Drosophila melanogaster: one gene and its partners. The protein of the gene in region 2 purifies or fractionates together with the protein of the main gene of each other region. This does not show direct contact. Each region holds a gene or a part of one and is shown on either strand. Other genes may lie near its edges.

What was found.
Region 1: the proteins of Caf1-105 (region 2) and ProtB purify together in Drosophila melanogaster (affinity purification with western blotting; one study listed by BioGRID). This does not show direct contact.
Region 3: the proteins of Caf1-105 (region 2) and ProtA purify together in Drosophila melanogaster (affinity purification with western blotting; one study listed by BioGRID). This does not show direct contact.

Annotation. Positions count from the first base shown.
Region 1 is NT_033779.5:14,881,601-14,887,342, reverse strand, and holds ProtB (protamine B), read left to right. Parts: upstream 1-3,621; 5' UTR 3,622-3,741; intron 3,742-4,634; 5' UTR 4,635-4,655; coding exon 4,656-5,036; intron 5,037-5,085; coding exon 5,086-5,139; 3' UTR 5,140-5,242; downstream 5,243-5,742.
Region 2 is NT_033778.4:10,464,195-10,471,202, forward strand, and holds Caf1-105 (chromatin assembly factor 1, p105 subunit), read right to left. Parts: upstream 4,347-7,008; 5' UTR 4,252-4,346; coding exon 3,662-4,251; intron 3,603-3,661; coding exon 1,949-3,602; 3' UTR 1,807-1,948; downstream 1-1,806. Other genes in the region: CG11777 (uncharacterized protein), read left to right, coding at 4,440-4,442, 4,507-4,743, 5,007-5,252; whd (withered), read right to left, coding at 5,569-5,691, 5,752-6,111, 6,174-6,555.
Region 3 is NT_033779.5:14,876,509-14,883,417, reverse strand, and holds ProtA (protamine A), read left to right. Parts: upstream 1-1,765; 5' UTR 1,766-1,907; intron 1,908-3,778; 5' UTR 3,779-3,799; coding exon 3,800-4,180; intron 4,181-4,229; coding exon 4,230-4,289; 3' UTR 4,290-4,368; downstream 4,369-6,909. Other genes in the region: ProtB (protamine B), read left to right, coding at 731-1,111, 1,161-1,214.

The DNA of each region.
Region 1 (5,742 bases), on a different chromosome or scaffold from region 2:
CCAGCAACAGCAACAAGGAGCAGAGGCAAAATTTGAACAATCTTGAATCTAAGCGAATGTCTAGGCTCCTTTTTCATTTTGAAGCATGGTTGGAAAATGTGATTGCAGATATTGTATATACATATTGTAATAAGACATCTTTTCTATTTGGCGCTATCTGGGTATCCTATACAAAAATAAACAAAAGAAATAAACCCGCTGCATTTTGCAATTACTCGTAGTTTAAATAGTCTTCACTACGATTATCCCGCTTCGTACGACAGCAAATTGAAAATATAATTGTGTTAACCGCATTTCGAGTTCAATCTTATAATTTGTTCGAAGCCTGTTTCTCTGATGATTATTTTCGTATGCTGATTTTATTGAAATAATTAAGCGCGGAAAATGCCGAAGGTGCGCAATTCATTGATGACCCAAAAGTGACACTTGCACATTCATTTGTAGCACTTTTATTCGAATTTTTTTTTTATTTTTTTTATTTCGGGTGTGTGTGTGTGCGTTGCGCGTTGGATTTAAATTGCATTCTGTTCGAAACTGTCCGATGGCCAATGCCTGCTTGCAATAAATTCGCTTAATGAAGTTTTAAAAAATACCAACTGCTTGTGGGCGTTGTCAGCGCGATCCGCGTGTTATGCAGGAAATGCATTTAATGTAATTATTTCTTTAATTAAAATATTTAGCGCAACAGCAGGAGCAACAACAACAATGTCGCGGGGGCACCGACGTTAACAATTTGCACAAAAGTCACGTCGTTGCTTTTATTATTGTTAATGTTGTTATAATTCCTCGAATCGGCCATTCGGCTTAATTGAAACCATTAAAAATACCGTTGCAATCGGCAAAACGTTGCATACTTCAGGGGGCCACGTGATTAAAAACGTATTCCATGATGAAACATATGCATAAAGATTTCATATTTAAGCCCTATTAAGCCAAAATATCAAAAGCTGCCTATTGCATAAAATCAGTCATCAAGTAATTTCCTGGCCAGTTAAATGCAACTACTTGAAAATTCCATTTAGAATTTCAATTGCATTCTGCTAAATATGGGGACTCCCTCCCCCAAACAATATCCCCATTCATTTCTCCAGTTGGACGAGTGCCAGGCAAAGGTTAATTTACTTGAAAAATTCCGGAATGCTTATTCTTAACAAATATGCGAGCAATTGCTTAGCTTACTTTTCAGAGGAATTGAATTGGCTTTGGGTACAAAAGAACGAAGGATGGAACGAAATGCCAATGTGGCACTAACAACTGCGCTGATTTATCTGCACAAATTGCCAACTGAAATTAATAAGAGAAATCAGTTTACCATTTCCTGTCGACGACTACAACAAGGAGTTTGAGGACGACAAAAATACTAGAAAAATGCCAACTAATAGTCTATTGTCGATGCCGTTTCTAGGGATTCTCGAGAATGGGTAGTGGAAATGAAGAGACATTCCAATAACTGTACAACATCCGGTTGCATACACACATACACACACATATAATTCCAAACACAATGGCAAAATCGTTTCCATTTTCAATGGAAAATATTTCTATTTCAACATGAAAATATTTTTAGCAGCCTTTTGTGTGGGATATCTAAACGACTCTTCACCTGACGACGACCAGATAAAAATTTCTGCTTCGGCAAAGAAAACTGATAAAAAGTAAAAAAAAATAGTACCAAAACCAAGAAAAATTCAATCTTAATCCAGTCGCTCGGCAGGATATTTTTTATAGACAGAAAAGTAACTAACAAGAGTAGGGCAACGACAAAAAAAAAAAGACCAAATGGATGCTGTGCACTTAGACCTTAGGTATGGCTTTGCTGAATGGAACCAGTGACGTATGCACTTGACTTGCACATTTGCGGTGGCAGAAAGCCTCTGGAACTCAATTCGAGCCACATCGCCAGCCAAATCCAAAGAAAAATAGTTATTGTTAGAGCCACGAGGACAGCGCCAACGACGAAGGCAGTAAGTAGCTTTATTATGGGATTTTAAGTTATTACACCGGCAACCCGATGGCAAACGGGGCATTCGGGGAGCAGGAAAACAGCATCCAGCAGCGATGATAATCTGGGCGTCATTGCGAGCACTCACATATGCGACTCCTTGCACTTGATTCGAGGACTTAGCCCATGTGATGACGTGATGCCCTTTGGCCTATAGCCAAATTTGTCAACATGATTTGGATGAAAATCATTTCGTTTTCCGTCGCTCACGTTTTGCGACTTATTTATTGCTATTTGGGCTGCTGTGATTGATTGGATTTTTAAATTTAAAGCTGATTTTTATAAATAGGTACCACTTTCGACCATATAAAGTATATATATTCTTGATCAGGATCAACTGCCGAGTCGAACTGGACATGACTGTCTCAGGAACTGTAAAAGCTAGAAGGTTGAGATACATGCATACGTACATGCTCTAGAGACATAGACACATATATATATTTCATATTATTATTAGTCTTATGCATTTCTACTTAAAAACTTTTTGCCACGCCCACTCTAAAAATGTTTACCCTAAAATATCTTAATACAAAAATAATTGCCTTGTTTCGCTACCCGAATGTCCCCATCATTGCGAGCTAAATGTCAACCTCTTGACAGTTTGTTTCATAAGATGCGGACACTGATACTTTTATGTGTGCCCTTACTTTGACCCAGTTAATAATTCAGTAGCGTAGCATCAGGCTACAATGAGTGTCCTACCCGCCCCTGGGTACATCAGTTTGGGTGTCAGTATTTGACACTGAGGCTAATTTAATGGAAAATGAGAACGGAGAACTTGAAATTTGTATTTATCGCGACACGCAATGGAAGCGTTTTCGCCGCGAGGCGGAAGTAACAAAATATAGTACACAGGACCCGACTCATGTGGTTCATATTTTAGCTGACATATCTATTTATATGCAAATGCCACACCTCCTCAGTCACCTGGACTTTGTCTACTCTCCCTGTGTGCGTGCCAAAGTCAAAGCCGAGGAATTTCCCTTTGTTGTTTTGGCATTCCTGCAACAATAAATCACGGCACCTATGCTAAAGGCGCGAGGAACAGCGGGGTAAAAACTAATAAATCTAAGGCCAATTAATTGACTTAACTGGTGCTGGAAAAGGCAGAGACCAAAGATGAACCGACGGAAAAGGAAGCGGCAAAGCCAACGGCAGAGGCAAAGCCAAAGGCAAAGACTCCAAAGGGTCGCAATTTATGGCCGCACCATCAACTTGAGCCCGCACATAATAAATCATAACATTTTACAGATAATAGAAAACCTCACACATGTCCAAACAATCGGAATCCCCAAGACGTTTCGCCCAAAATTTCTTAGCCACACCGAGTTTGTTAGCCCGGCGGCTAGAAATTTTAATAAGCCGCATAGAGTTTGGCACGAGCAATAGTGGGTATAAAAATTGTTTCACATAATTTATGCCACCTATGAGGAAAACTTGCCACACTGCCACTGGCAAATGGAAACATGGGGGCGTAACCACCTAACAGAAGGATGTTTCCCAGGATGCGTATCCGCCGGCGTCGTTTCGATCAAATCTAACTTTATTCCATATAGTTGGCGTAGGTTTTGCCGTATACCCCTTATACCGGGCAGTCGGTTTTTTTAAACATTAGTTGTAACTTGGTACACAAACAGTTCACAAGCAAAATTTTTCCAAAAATTTATAGTCTTATTTTTATGATCTTCTTAAAAATTAGTTGTGACAAAAATTTGGTTTTTATAAAAAACTTCATAAGGGTAAGTGAAATAAAACGAATTACGATTTATTTTTACAAAATAACATACCAACAAATCAATTGTTTAAAACGAAGCGCATAATTACTTTCTATTGGTATGCTAATCAGTTTCGATAAACTTCATTTGAAAAAAAATTTTACTTTTATAATTCTCTTTTAAAGAAGCTTTTGTGAAATTCAGTTCTGTAAAATTCATTGAGATGCGATTAAAATAATGTCGACTGCAAGGTTATGGGGCGTGTTGCACCAAAGTGTTGCAAGTCAAAGCGGAAATTCGGCGGCCACGCCTTTTTGGCGGCCGGCGTGTTTGTCTCGATGTCGGATGGATGTGGCCCTCCTATCTGGCTTTAAACTAATGCCGGGGCAGTCTGTCGACAGGCAACCACCTTGCCACGCCCCACGCCTTGTAATGACGTTATTTACATGCTGCAACAACACTGGCAGCAAGCGCGGGCAATTAAATAAATCATAGCGGTTCACGCGGTTCGGCCGAAAGAAAGATCCAGTTAATCTAAAGAGAAACTCTTAGTTCTTTCTTTCGTTGTCAGAGTGAAATTGTAAATAAATTACACGTCCTGATTGATCAACTTTTTGTTCGTTACAAAACAACGTCGGGAATCAGATTGCAACTGTTATTAATTATGGGCTTTGTTGCAGTTGCAACCGCTTGTCTCCTGCTGTTCAGGTCTTCATCCTGGTCGGTAGGGCTTGGGCTTTACTTTTGGTTTGAGACTCGGATTGCTCACTGAATAAGTGACTTCTCTAGGACGCAACTCTGCGGCTTCTGGGGCCAACACTCACATGCGGGGGGAACATACTCCATCACAGTTGATGGCTGACATCGTACACAACAAATAAATCCCATATAAAACTTCCCTTTCCTTTTCTTTTCAGAGTTTGTAAAAATTTTCTACGATGAGTTCAAATAATGTAAATGAGTGCAAGAGCCTGTGGAATGGCATAATTTCCATTTCTGCAAAAGATGAAAGTCCTAAAGGTCTCACTGAAATGTGTAATCATCCAAAGAGGAGAGCACCGCCCAAATGTAAGCCAATGAAGTCCTGTGCAAAGCCGCGCCGAAAGGCAGCCTGTGCCAAGGCGACTCGGCCCAAGGTCAAGTGTGCACCGAGTCAGAAGTGCAGCAAGCAGGGACCTGTCACTAACAACGCCTATTTGAATTTCGTGCGTTTCTTCCGAAAGAAGCACTGTGACTTGAAGCCGCAGGAATTAATTGCAGAGGCCGCTAAAGCGTGGGCCGAGCTCCCGGAGCATAGAAAGGATAGATACCGCCGGATGGTACGTATTTTTTTTTTATATTATGAAGACTATTAATTTGTCCTTTCAGGCATGCAAGGTCACCACCAGTGAACGCCACAAGCGCCGACGGATTTGCAAGTAATACTGAGATAGGAAAAAGTCTGATGCAGTTAAGTCCAGGCATATATTTTCATTGATTTGATACCATTCGATGAATTTAGAAATAAAAAAAATTAAAAACCGGGTTTCATTTTTTTTACGATTCTAGGATGTTGGAATAGCGCGAATGGGTATTTGTGGTTGTTCCAGGTGCCCGGCGAAATTCAATTTATTATTCCACTATATGAGCTTTCTAATGAGCTGTGATCCAAAGAAATGAAACGGCTGAGTGGTAAATGGGCACGGCAATGGTGAATTCGAAGATATGGATAGGCTTCTGCTTCAAGCTTTTCCACAGTTCTCTGACCAGGCGTCTGTTGTGAGACAATCGAAATACCCAAAAATTGTTTCACATAATTTATGCCACCTATGAGGAAAACTTGCCACACTGCCACTGGCAAAGGGAAACATGGGGGCGTAACCACCTAACAGAAGGATGTTTCCCAGGATGCGTATCCGCCGGCGTCGTTTCGATCAAATCTAACTTTATTCCATATAGTTGGCGTAGGTTTTGCCGTATACCCCTTATACCGGGCAGTCGGTTTTTTTAAACATTAGTTGTAACTTGGTACACAAACAGTTCACA
Region 2 (7,008 bases):
TGGGGTAAAAAAAAGAAAAACCAAGTAATATACAGCAGACGATCAGTGTATCAGTCACTTGACCAGTAATGCAAAAGATCAAGAACACGAGAGTTTAATAATTGTATGTAACTATAAATAAATACCAAATCGATATATTTATTGACAATTTAATTAAGCCACAAACAAGAAAGTTATTCATTTACCTTTGAGACAAAAGTAAACAAGGTCGGTCTATATATACAGATATATAAATTTAAATAAATATATTTAGTAAAGGGAGAACAACAAATTGCTACAAACATACATACATATGTACTATATTTTTCTCGTAAATAATTATTAATCGAATACTCATACGGTAGCGACTATAATTTACCTCCTCGATGTCGCTCAACTTTCGAATCAGCAGAGATCGCAGAACTAAATAACTAATGAAAGCAGCATTCAAGTAATAGCAACATTCGATCATATAGTACAGCATAGTGTTAACCGCATTATATCGAATAAACTTTTTCATATTTTCAATACTAAATGGAATAGAATGGAACGGAAATGGAATCAAACATAATTCATATTTTTCTAAAGCTCATACACCTCTTTGCTCCACACACACCCACATAACTCATAAAATCGCAAGTCGCACCACTACTAAAATTACTTTAATAGCAGTTAAAACATTTATAAGTGAAATCCATAAAGAGCTATAACAACGGTAATGTGAATTACTTCGAATCAAATGTCCAAGGACATTCAGACACACGATTTTTTGTGAGTGGCGAATACCAAACTTTGGGATTTTAAGAGGAGCTGGAGGAAAGACGAGATGGCCAGTGGAACCAAGAGTATAGGTTAGACAAAGTTTAGACATTGTATCTAATCTAATTTGTAGCCTAATTATAAATGCTTTGGTTGTCCCATGCAACAGATCAGATTTGTTTAACTATTTATATACTTACCTATATTAACGTATGTGGAAATATAATTCTCCTCAATTCTTGAGCTCCTTTCCTCTCTCTAATGACCACATGGATGAAGTGTAGCTAATGGCCCATGGAAAATTTTTAAAATGAGTTTGAGGCGAGCCACGGAAGCTAACTAAGCTCGAACATGATGAATGAATTTGAATCGTTGAATTAAAAATTTAAAATAATATATAAAACATAAAAATAATGATATAAAAAACTGAAGTAAACCAAAATGTTTGTATGTAAAAGAAACTCAAAACGTTAGAGATCATCTACAATTTAAATAAATATAAATAAAACCAAGCAAGTTTGTTGTTTCTGAATGAAAAGATAGACCCATCTACTGGGTCCGAAAATACATCACTGGCGACGGCAGTCCACGTAGTGACGAAGCGCGCTAGGACAGATTGCATGGCACGACTTTCAAACAATTTTAAGAATCAGGAGGAAAAGTGGTGAAAAAGTAAAGGGGAAAATTAAAAAATTTGGTGCCACTTATTAGTCACGGAAAAGTAAAAAATCTGTTTTCGTCGCAATTTTGCTTGAAAATATTTAGCTGTCTGGTAATAAATGTCTTTTCACAAAGTCCTTCCAAAAAATACGTCCCCGTGCAAATTCATGGAAACTTAACTTGGGACCAGGTAGAACAACCCTCTTGAAGCATTTTTAATTTGAGGATTTCGTGGTACAGTTGACCAGTACAGTCACATAACTTATCAGATGACTTTTGTCACAGGTAGAAGAATCGTGTATGTTGATATAGGAACTACTGAAACTGTACAAACTGCAAATTACTACTGCATTTTGACTGCAATTTTCGTTTTAAAGATCCCGAAGCCAAAGCAATACAATTACCTCTAAACCTTGTGTTGCGTTTTATTGTGGAATATATTAGGAAGAATTTTGGCTATTTTTTACAATTTTGTATGGGGTATCCCCAAAGATCCCAAAAATCTTAATCTTATGAACATAAATCTGTTAAGTCTAATCTATTGCATTGTCTACTCTAAAAGTTTCTTTTTTGATTTGGGCGTGGATATGGTTCGCAAGGACACGCGACGTGGCGTCTTGTTATTCGGCGTGGATGGCCCCGATTCAGTCGGATTTTTTGGCGTTTCCTCTTGCGTATCCTCGTAGACCAGACGAATGTCCTCAGTTCGCTCGCAGGTGGCCTCGCTGGCCTCTATTACCGCTGGTTTCGTTTCGGTCTTTACAGTCTCCGGCAAGGGTTTTCGAGAATCCTTCTTTGTCGCTGGCAGGGGTGTGATGCTCTCGTCGAGGGGCCAGGCATCCATGGCCTCCTCCATTGGGACCACAGGCGAGTTCACCGGCATTTCGATGAGTACGCGTGGAGTTCTCCTCACTGCAATGGGAGTAGCTTGCTTGGCGGGTTGGCTTTTCGGCGTTAGATTAAATTGGCTGGAGCTGCCAGGAGTTCGTGGCTGGCGACGCACTTGAATTGGTGTTGCGGGTCGGGACTTCTTCTCAGGCGATTCGAACTTATCATCAGAACTGATGATCTCCTTCTCGAACACCGGAATCACTGCAAGTGCCGGCTGTGATGTCTCTGCTGGAGGCACTGCCTCTGTGCTCACCTTGCGCTTGACAGGTGATGCCACTGTTTTCTGCACTTGAGTCGTTTTTGTGTGAGTAACTTCCATTTCGTCTTTGGGCTTGCTCGATTCGCTATTCCCCTTATCCTCGGGCTTACGCGGAGCTCTGCGTATAGCAATCGGCATGGGTGCAGTCGAATTTTTACGGGGCGAACGCCTGATGGCGATGGGAGTGGGTTTCTCCTCTTCGCTAGCTTTTGTTTTGGGACTGTTCGTTTTATTCGAACTGACACTGTGCGTTGATGAATCGTTTTCAGCATCCAACTCGGGTTCCCCTACCTCTGTGATACCTGCTTCGGACGCCCTTCTAATTGTATTTGGTTTCGATTTTTCCTGCAGTGGTTTCCGTGGTTCATCCAACGATACCTTGCGCAGCTTTTGCCTCTTCTTTTTCAACACCGTTGCATTCTCTGAAGATTTTAGAACAACGCTCAGCACTGTTTCCATATCTTCATAGCAGTCGCCCAGCTCGGTTGGCTCGAAGGTAATCAGTGAGCAGTAGCCATCGGTGCTGGACACGATCAGGACGGTGCCGTCGCTCGACCAGGCCAAATCCGTAAGCCTGCTATAGTGAATGTTGGACACAATGGCAAACGGCACCGGCTGCTGGGTGTCGTAGAAAAACACAGCGTTCTTTGTGGCCACAGCATAGATCATGCGGTACGGCAGCGAAATAATCGGAGGATTCTTCTCCGCATTGTACGGTCGCAGACGGTACAGTACCGGAGAGCAGCGAACAGCCACCGCATATTCCTTGGGAAAGGGCAGCACAAAGGCGGGTTTGGACAAATCATGGCGACTAAACCCATAGCTGGTGTTTATGGGTTTCACAACACCATCGTAGTCGGTAATTCCTGACGGCGTTAACAGCAGCTTACCATCGGGTGTGAAGCATAAGCGGCGAAAGAAGGTCTGCAAGGTTCCATCTTGGTACAATCGCATGCTCTTGCCGTGCATCTCGTGGTCCTCTTTTACTGGGAGTACACATTTGCTGACTCGGTGCAGAACTCGCTTGGTATTGGCATCAAATATCCGCATTTGTCTAAAAGAAATTTAACTCCATTCGATTAAAGTTCGAACATTTTGGACTGTACTGCTTACCTATCGGTGCTCATGGTGGCGATGTATTGATTGCAGGGATCCCATGCCACGCCCTGTACATAGCCCTTGTGGTCATCTAGAATAGCCAGTGATTTGCCACTGTGCACATCCCAGAGCATCGCTGTGTTATCCACGGATCCGCTGACCAGAAACTGTGAGTTCGGCGCCCAGCTGAGATCGTAGATATCCTCGCGATGGCCGCGCAGTACCTTGAGAGTCAACCAGACCTCCTTGTCCTGTTCACTGCAGCCATCGGCGTCCACAATGTTGACAACTTCGTGGTCGGCCTTCTGTTTCCATATAAAGACAACACTCTCGTCATCGCCGGATGCCAGCAGTTCTCCGTTCGGTGACCAGCGGACAGCGTTGACGGCACGCTGATGCCGGGACAGGTCGGCGGCCAGCTCCACATCCACGCCCTCGGCGTCATCACTTCGGTTAACATACCAAATGAGGACATGGGCATCCGAACCACCAGAGGCTAGGCGGCATATCGTCGGAGAACGCAGCCCCAGGCCATTTTGCTGTATATCCACACTCAGGACAGGATCGCGGTTGTGCCACGAAATCTCGGGTATCTTGCACTTCATCCTGTTTACTTAATGTGCCGCTGTTGATTAGTTGAAGTGCGAAGAGAAAAATCACTTTATGCGGCAGAATTCGCGCCTAAAAGTGTGACCTTCGGTCACGGGAATACCAAATAGTGCTGTTTTCGATTTCTGTTATCGTTAATGGACCGATTGCATATCGAAACGAGGGCTGCACAATCACTTTTAAAATGGTAAACAAAAGTTGGAATATCTGATTTCTTACAGTTTTAACCGATTTTGTTGTGTTGTTTGCAGTCTGTAACGCTGCACACCGACGTGGGTGACCTCAAAATAGAGCTCTTCTGCGATGCCTGCCCCAAGGCCTGCGAAAATTTCCTCGCCCTGTGTGCGAGCGACTATTACAGCGGCTGCGTCTTCATCCGAAACATCAAGGGATTTATTGTCCAAACTGGAGATCCTACGAACACCGGAAAGAATGGACAGTCCATTTGGGGCCAGAAGTTCGACGACGAATTCAAGGAGACCATTAAGGTGAGCCGGCTACCTAGGTTTTACCAGAAAAACCCTCATTCAGTTGCGCCATGACAGCTGGCTTTAATACCCAGCATTCCGGCTTTAAAGGGTATATTGTATCTAATCTTAGAATGTAACCAGCACATGAATCTCAAAATGTATGTTGACATCCATATCATTTTACATTTTAATATGTCATGTGGTTGGGTTCGTTTTTCAGTCTAAAAGATTCCCAAGATACAAGAAGAAATCCTTTAATTCTTGACCACTTAATTCTTCAGCACACTGATCGAGGAATGGTTTCCATGGCCAACAACGGACCGAACGCCAATGCCAGCCAGTTCTTCATTACCTATGCCGCCCAGCCAAATCTTGACTTGAAGTACACGCTCTTTGGCCGTGTGATCGATGGATTCGATGCCCTGGATGAACTGGAGAAACTGCCCGTCAATCCCAAGAACTATCGTCCCCATGTGGACAAGAAGATCAATGGAGTAACTATACATGCCAATCCTTTGGCGACGTGATAGAGATAGAGACAAAGGCCAATCGTACGCTTAAAATGAAATATATTTATAGCACTTAAGGTTACGCGATTTCTTCGATTACAGACTAATTGATTGAGAAACATCAAATATTGTGCAAAAGTATCTAAAGACTAAATCTTAAAACCAGCCAAGTCACAATTGTTTATAAAAAATTGCATTGTTTATGTATAACTCTCACGACGACTTTTGCACTTCATTTCGAACTAGACGGATGTATCAGATGTGTTTAAAACGACCAACTAGGGGGGTAAAAACAAATGCTAACAAGAATCTCGACTACATGGACTAAACGGGATTATGTGGATTTGCCGTTTGTGAGTGATTTGGCGGGCTTCGGATGGTCCTTCATGTGCTGCTCGAACATGCTGCGAATGTCTGACAGAGCCTGCGATATGTTCTGAGCGAAGCGGTGCACATCCTGTAAAGAAAACAATTCGATTAGCTGTGCTCCATGCCATGAATCAGGGCTCCTCATTACCGTTTGCTGGCACGTAGTCTTCGCTGAGATATGGAAGAATATCAGGTTCTCTCCGGCAATAATGTACGACACACCGTAACCATCATCGGCCACGGGCCCAAAGCCGCCTCCAGCGCTGATGCAGTTCGGATGCTTCTTCAGGTCCATCTTGGGCGTCTGGCCGTGCGGAGTCTGACTAGTAGAGAGGCGCCAGGGTTCGCTGAGCACCTCGTTGAGGAAGGGTGAATCCACCTCCAGGTACTTGGAGACCACATACAGGCAGAACAGATGCCTGTCGATGCCACGACCGCACATGGCATCCTGGTAGCCCAACTGGTGACGATCGCAGGCAGCCTGCATCATCTTCACACGCTCATCGTTCTGTACAGCATGGATATATGGATTAGCCTTTGATCTAATTACATAAAATTGTAAAATCTTACGGTTGTATTTGGGTTCTGCATGGCCTTGACCCAGGCGGATGACTCAATGGTGCACGGACGCACTGTCTCAGTTCTTCCTTCGCGGAACAGACGGGTCATTGAAGCCTCATATGTCAACGAGAAGCGACCGGCATCTCGGTAGTAGGCCAACTGCAGGGCCATTTGTATGTAGGCATCTGGTGAGATGCGGCACTTCTTCATAAAGCCCTTGCCGTAATCCTGGTGCACCAGGATGCGCAGATTGACCTCGTTGATAAGCTTCGTCACATCGATGGTGGCCTCTTCGATCTGCGCCAGGCATGGTTTAAGATCCCAAGTGAGCCTAGTGGGCGTGGGTGGCTGGAACGCCGGGGTGCCCTTTGTATTACCCGTTTCGTCATATCTACAGGGTTACCAAGGGAATAGGTTAGCATTGTGGGGAGACGGTTTGTGGGCAAATTTATGGCAAGCAACGTAAATCAAAGTATTGTTAATTTTGTGTAATTGTTGTTAGTCACGAAAACAAAATAAACTAAATGTTTACTTTTGGGTTGATTACAATTTGTAAATACAGTAAATAAAGACAGTAAGGAAAGTAAGGAAAAACAACTGAAATGGCCAACATAAGCTTATATAAAATATGCTGCGTACTGATCAAACTATTCCTCATGTAATAAATTAATAATCCCTTAAAACGTGTCTGGCATTCGCATACTAGATTTTGTATGTTTCAAGTTCGTTATGCTAGTATTTACTGTATGGCGAGATCATTAAAGCTTTTAGCGCCTAGTGATCTCTCGTACTCAACCCAAAAATGACTTGAATAACTTTGCTTTGTGCTTGTGTGCATTGTAGT
Region 3 (6,909 bases), on a different chromosome or scaffold from region 2:
GTAAAATTCATTGAGATGCGATTAAAATAATGTCGACTGCAAGGTTATGGGGCGTGTTGCACCAAAGTGTTGCAAGTCAAAGCGGAAATTCGGCGGCCACGCCTTTTTGGCGGCCGGCGTGTTTGTCTCGATGTCGGATGGATGTGGCCCTCCTATCTGGCTTTAAACTAATGCCGGGGCAGTCTGTCGACAGGCAACCACCTTGCCACGCCCCACGCCTTGTAATGACGTTATTTACATGCTGCAACAACACTGGCAGCAAGCGCGGGCAATTAAATAAATCATAGCGGTTCACGCGGTTCGGCCGAAAGAAAGATCCAGTTAATCTAAAGAGAAACTCTTAGTTCTTTCTTTCGTTGTCAGAGTGAAATTGTAAATAAATTACACGTCCTGATTGATCAACTTTTTGTTCGTTACAAAACAACGTCGGGAATCAGATTGCAACTGTTATTAATTATGGGCTTTGTTGCAGTTGCAACCGCTTGTCTCCTGCTGTTCAGGTCTTCATCCTGGTCGGTAGGGCTTGGGCTTTACTTTTGGTTTGAGACTCGGATTGCTCACTGAATAAGTGACTTCTCTAGGACGCAACTCTGCGGCTTCTGGGGCCAACACTCACATGCGGGGGGAACATACTCCATCACAGTTGATGGCTGACATCGTACACAACAAATAAATCCCATATAAAACTTCCCTTTCCTTTTCTTTTCAGAGTTTGTAAAAATTTTCTACGATGAGTTCAAATAATGTAAATGAGTGCAAGAGCCTGTGGAATGGCATAATTTCCATTTCTGCAAAAGATGAAAGTCCTAAAGGTCTCACTGAAATGTGTAATCATCCAAAGAGGAGAGCACCGCCCAAATGTAAGCCAATGAAGTCCTGTGCAAAGCCGCGCCGAAAGGCAGCCTGTGCCAAGGCGACTCGGCCCAAGGTCAAGTGTGCACCGAGTCAGAAGTGCAGCAAGCAGGGACCTGTCACTAACAACGCCTATTTGAATTTCGTGCGTTTCTTCCGAAAGAAGCACTGTGACTTGAAGCCGCAGGAATTAATTGCAGAGGCCGCTAAAGCGTGGGCCGAGCTCCCGGAGCATAGAAAGGATAGATACCGCCGGATGGTACGTATTTTTTTTTTATATTATGAAGACTATTAATTTGTCCTTTCAGGCATGCAAGGTCACCACCAGTGAACGCCACAAGCGCCGACGGATTTGCAAGTAATACTGAGATAGGAAAAAGTCTGATGCAGTTAAGTCCAGGCATATATTTTCATTGATTTGATACCATTCGATGAATTTAGAAATAAAAAAAATTAAAAACCGGGTTTCATTTTTTTTACGATTCTAGGATGTTGGAATAGCGCGAATGGGTATTTGTGGTTGTTCCAGGTGCCCGGCGAAATTCAATTTATTATTCCACTATATGAGCTTTCTAATGAGCTGTGATCCAAAGAAATGAAACGGCTGAGTGGTAAATGGGCACGGCAATGGTGAATTCGAAGATATGGATAGGCTTCTGCTTCAAGCTTTTCCACAGTTCTCTGACCAGGCGTCTGTTGTGAGACAATCGAAATACCCAAAAATTGTTTCACATAATTTATGCCACCTATGAGGAAAACTTGCCACACTGCCACTGGCAAAGGGAAACATGGGGGCGTAACCACCTAACAGAAGGATGTTTCCCAGGATGCGTATCCGCCGGCGTCGTTTCGATCAAATCTAACTTTATTCCATATAGTTGGCGTAGGTTTTGCCGTATACCCCTTATACCGGGCAGTCGGTTTTTTTAAACATTAGTTGTAACTTGGTACACAAACAGTTCACAAGCAAAATTTTTCCAAAAGTCTTATTTTTATGCTCTTCTTAAAAATTAGTTGTGACAAAAATTTGGTTTAAAAAAAAAAACTTTATAAAGGTAAGTGAAATAAAACGAATTACAATTTATTTTTACAGAACAACATACCATACAAATTATTTTAAACGAAGCGCATAATTATTTTTTATTGGTATGCCAATCAGTTTCGATAAACTTCATTTGAAAAAATTTTACTTTCAAAAATTTCTTTTAAAGAAGCTTTTGTGAAATTCAGTTCTGTAAATGCATTGTGATGCGATTAAATTAATGTCGACTGTCGACGTGGCGTGTTTGCCTCGATATCGGATGGATGTGGCCCTCCTATCTGGCTTTAAACTAATGCCGGGGGTAGTCTGTCGACAGGCAACCACCTTGCCACGCCCCACGCCTTGTAATGACGTCATTTACATGCTGCAACAACACTGGCAGCAAGCGCGGGCAATTAAATAAATCATAGCGGTTCACGCGGTTCGGCCGAAAGAAAGATCGAGTTAATGTGAAGAGAAACTCTTAGTTCTTTCTTTCGTTGTCAGAGTGAAATTGTAAATAAATTACACGTCCTGATTGATCAACTTTTTGCTCGTTGACAACCATAAAAGGGCAGTAGACAGGGGGCACACTGTCATTGTGGCCGAAAATGTCCAGGCAGCCGCTCGTAAACATAAATCCAAGTGACGCTAATTGTTTGTTGCAATTACTGCTGCAGTTGTTGCCACCGTTCAGTTACGTGTGCAGCCAAATGGGGCAATGAGTGGGGTTTTGGGCTAAGGGGTGGTGAGTAGGGACTTGTGCTTGCATGCAAATTTTGTTGCATCTGCAGTTGCTGCTGCTTGTGCTGCTGCTTGTGCTGCTGTTGACGCTGCAGCAACGGCAAACAATTACTCAAACATTGTTGCATCTGCTGCTGATGTTGCTGGCACTCATCTCGTTGTGCGTGCTAAATGGCAACTACTCTGGCGGCTAATGATAATCACTCGACGCCCTCAGCTCCTGTCGGTTCCTACTTAGTTTTACCTGCCCTCGTTGGCTTTTAAATCTAGTTTAGCACTTAATCAATCAAGGCTTCCTTTCATTGAAGAAAAATAGCTTTGAAGATAACTTCCTCCCGGCGAAGCCCCAATAATATCCATTCAACTCGTGCTGTTTTTTTTTATATTGATCCACAAGATAATTTTAAGTTCGAAGAGCCAAAAGGAGCATATTGGGCCTTCAATGAAGCTCTCTAGCTAAAGCGAATTTTGTATTCCAACTGGGTGTTCAGTGGGGTTTGATAGACAATGCAGGCAGTGTGGTGCGATGGCACAGCTGGTCACAAATTGTAATTTGTACACATCCATAACGATTTCAAATTAATATTTCGAATTAATATTTGTCAAGCCCAAAATATCAGCTGTGGGTGGCAAATAAATTGCTCGGATTTGAGGAAACTTCAGTAATCTTGAATTATACAGATATTGGTTTAGCTTTTTTATCCTTGGAGAGTCCTTCTATTAATTATTTACCACTGCCCATTTGCTGTCGGGTACTAATTTTCATTACAAACTACTGTAGATTTCCATGACAATTATATAACCAGTTCTTAATACTCATTGGTCTTGGCTAAGAACCGCCACTTAGGCTCCCACACATGGTGACTAAACGTCGGTTGTCGGGAGGCAGCTTGCAACTGTTATTAATTATGGGCTTTGTTGCAGTTGCAACCGCTTGTCTCCTGCTGTTCAGATCTTCATCCTGGTCGGTAGGGCTTGGGCTTTACTTCTGGTTTGAGACTCGGGTTGCTCACTGATTAAGTGACTTCTCTAGGACGCAACTCTGCGGCTTCTGGGGCCAACACTCACATGCGGGGGGAACATACTCCATCACAGTTGATGGCTGACATCGTACACAACAAATAAATCCCATATAAAACTTCCCTTTCCTTTTCTTTTCAGAGTTTGTAAAAATTTTCTACGATGAGTTCAAATAATGTAAATGAGTGCAAGAGCCTGTGGAATGGCATAATTTCCATTTCTGCAAAAGATGAAAGTCCTAAAGGTCTCACTGAAATGTGTAATCATCCAATAAGGAGAGCACCTCAAAAATGTAAGCCAATGAAGTCCTGTGCAAAGCCGCGCCGAAAGGCAGCCTGTGCCAAGGCGACTCGGCCCAAGGTCAAGTGTGCACCGAGGCAGAAGTGCAGCAAGCAGGGACCTGTCACTAACAACGCCTATTTGAATTTTGTGCGTTCCTTCCGAAAGAAGCACTGTAACTTGAAACCGCGGGAATTAATTGCAAAGGCCGCTAAAGCGTGGGCCAGGCTCTCGGAGAATAGAAAGGATCGATACCGCCGGATGGTACGTATATTTTTTATGTTATGAAGACTATTCATTGGTGTCCTTTCAGGCATGCAAGGTCACCACCAGTGAACGCCACAAGCGCCGACGGATTTGCCAGCAATACTGAGATAGGAAAAAGTCTGATGCAGTTAAGTCCAGGCATATCCTTTCCTAACATTCGATGAATTTAGAAATAAAAACCAATTAAAAATCGTGTACTTTTTATTACGATTCTAGGATGTTGGAATAGCGCGAATGGGTATTTGTGGTTGTTTCCAGGTGCCCGTCGAATTTCAATTTATTATTCCACTATATGAGCTTTTGCATGAATAGATAATGAGCTGTGATCCGAGGAAATGGAACGGGAAAACTGCTAAGGCTGAGCGGTAAATGGGCACGGCATTGGGAATTCGAAGGTATAGGAGGAGTTGCGTGTGCTTCAAGCTTTCCAGAGTTCTCTGACCCGTCGTCTGTTCTGAGACAGCTAAATTGAATTATTAATAACACGCAGTGCCCGCAATGTTATGGATGCCATAAACCCGTTTCTGCAACTGTTCTGTGAGTAAATGTAATGCACATTGTGGTTTTGGGAAGACAACCTTGGGACAGTTGGCAAAAATAGCAAACGAAAAGGCGAATGGAACGGAACGGACTAATCGCAGCACTTACGACCATAATTTGTCAATTTTCGAAACAATTCCCAAGGCTCGCATAAATTGTCTGGTGGCCTCCTGTCTCCTTTTCCCTGTCGTTGGCTTTTGGCACCCATTACAGCTCATTTCTCTTACTCAGAGAAACATTGCGCAGTGAAAAATGAAAGTGAACCCGAAACAGTGACGAACTGAAGCGGTCTTGTTTCGAAAAAAAAGAGGAAATAAAAGGCATTTAAATGCCGTTGTGTGCATAAATTACTCAGGAGCTGACATTTTCCCACATAAATGTGTAAATGAGTCTCAGTTTTCGCCGTTTTATTTCAGCTCCGTTTGCAAATGAAATTGAAATGAATGCAGAAATGGAGTTAAAAGAGCTTGGCTTTTTCGGTTATAACTTGTTGCGCTTGCTGATTGAAAATGGGGCTGATATATGAATTTCAACGCTTGGCCTTATCTTATTTAAATTTGAAATTCTACACATTCAGTTTCATAAACTTTTATTAGCAATGAACATAATAACTGAAGTATATATAAAATTATATTAAAAAATATGTGCCACCAAGTAAAGTCCCCAATCGAATAAATATAATGGAGAATTACTAAAAGCTATGGCAAATAAAAATTCACTTAGCTAACAAGAAAAGAAAATCGAATCGAATCAAAAAAAAAAAAAAAAAAAAAAAACAACCGCCGTGGTCCTTTGTTTCTGGCCAAAAAGGAAATGTTCGGAAAATTACCGCTCCTTTGTGCATTTGGCCCAAAGATAACTGCCGGCCAAATGACACACATTAGGGCCAAGCCAAGGTAGTTTTTGTGGAAAGGAGGCTGATACGGCTTCTGTGTGCGAAATCAATTCAAGCTCGATTTACTTTGATGAAATGGTAAGTGTGTTCGGGCCATGCCAGACGTACGTGACAGTTATTCTTAAATGGCCCAAACGAACAAATTACTAAAAATAAAAGGTATAATGCAATGTGGAAGGTGTGGCCCGAGAGTGCGCAGCTCCCAATGTGAATTGTAGAATATTGATCCGAAAATCGTTCAATTAATAACGCAAATCCTTTATGGTCAGTTACCAGGGACAGCAGCCCGTTAATTAATGCACTTGTCTGTTCCATCCTCCAATCGCCTTATCTCATCCAGCACTTCCCTTCCCTCTGCCGACGATGATAAATGCTTAATTAAGTTTGCAACATTTAAAAAATGCCCGATTCGGTAGCCCTGGCAAAGGATTACATCATATTTAATCAGAGTCATTATTTATAATGATACCGCTTGCATGAGGCATTATAGCGACTGCTCGTGAAATATGCCACAAGTTATCAAAAGCCCGAAGTAAGCGCCATATCATATAAGCGTTAATAAGTGAATTCCATGAGAGCTCCGATGAGTGTCCTGGAAAGTTATTTCGTGGACATGAATAAATTGTGAAACACTCTCATTGTTTCTTATATTTTATTAATGAGGTTTCAAGATTTAATATTTTTTAATCACAGTGGGCCGCGTTGGTAATTTCGCAAATAATTCCTTATGTGACTCTGTGCTTTCTACAAGCTTACAGTCATCCTTTTCGGTAGAGTGGGCCAAAGTGCAGTTACCGCTCGAGTTGAAGTAAATTAATTAACAATGTTTATTGTTTGTATAATATGCGAATATTGCCTTGCATTGTCATTGTGTGGTTATTGTTTTCGTAACTCTTATTGCTGTTGCTGTAGTTGTTCAAAAGTTGTTGCAGTTGTCGCTGCAGTTTCTGATGTTTGTGGCCGCTTTGCTGACTGACAGTCAATTTGCAGCAGCACTTAAAATGTGCAGGAATGTTTTACATTATTTGCACAGGCTGGAAATTTAAATTAAATTATTATGCTTTGCTCTCTACTATTGCATTGTCTTGACTCTGATGTTCCATCTTCATCAGGCACTTTGGTCACTGGAATAATCTGTTAATTGGTAATTGTAAACCATTAGGTTTGTAGATACCTGCGGCCGAATACTCTTAATTGTAGGCATAATAATCGAGGCGATATTAATGGAAGATGTTAATGCATCTTGATAAATTGCGTGGCCATAGATCCTGAGAGTGGAAGAGATACAATT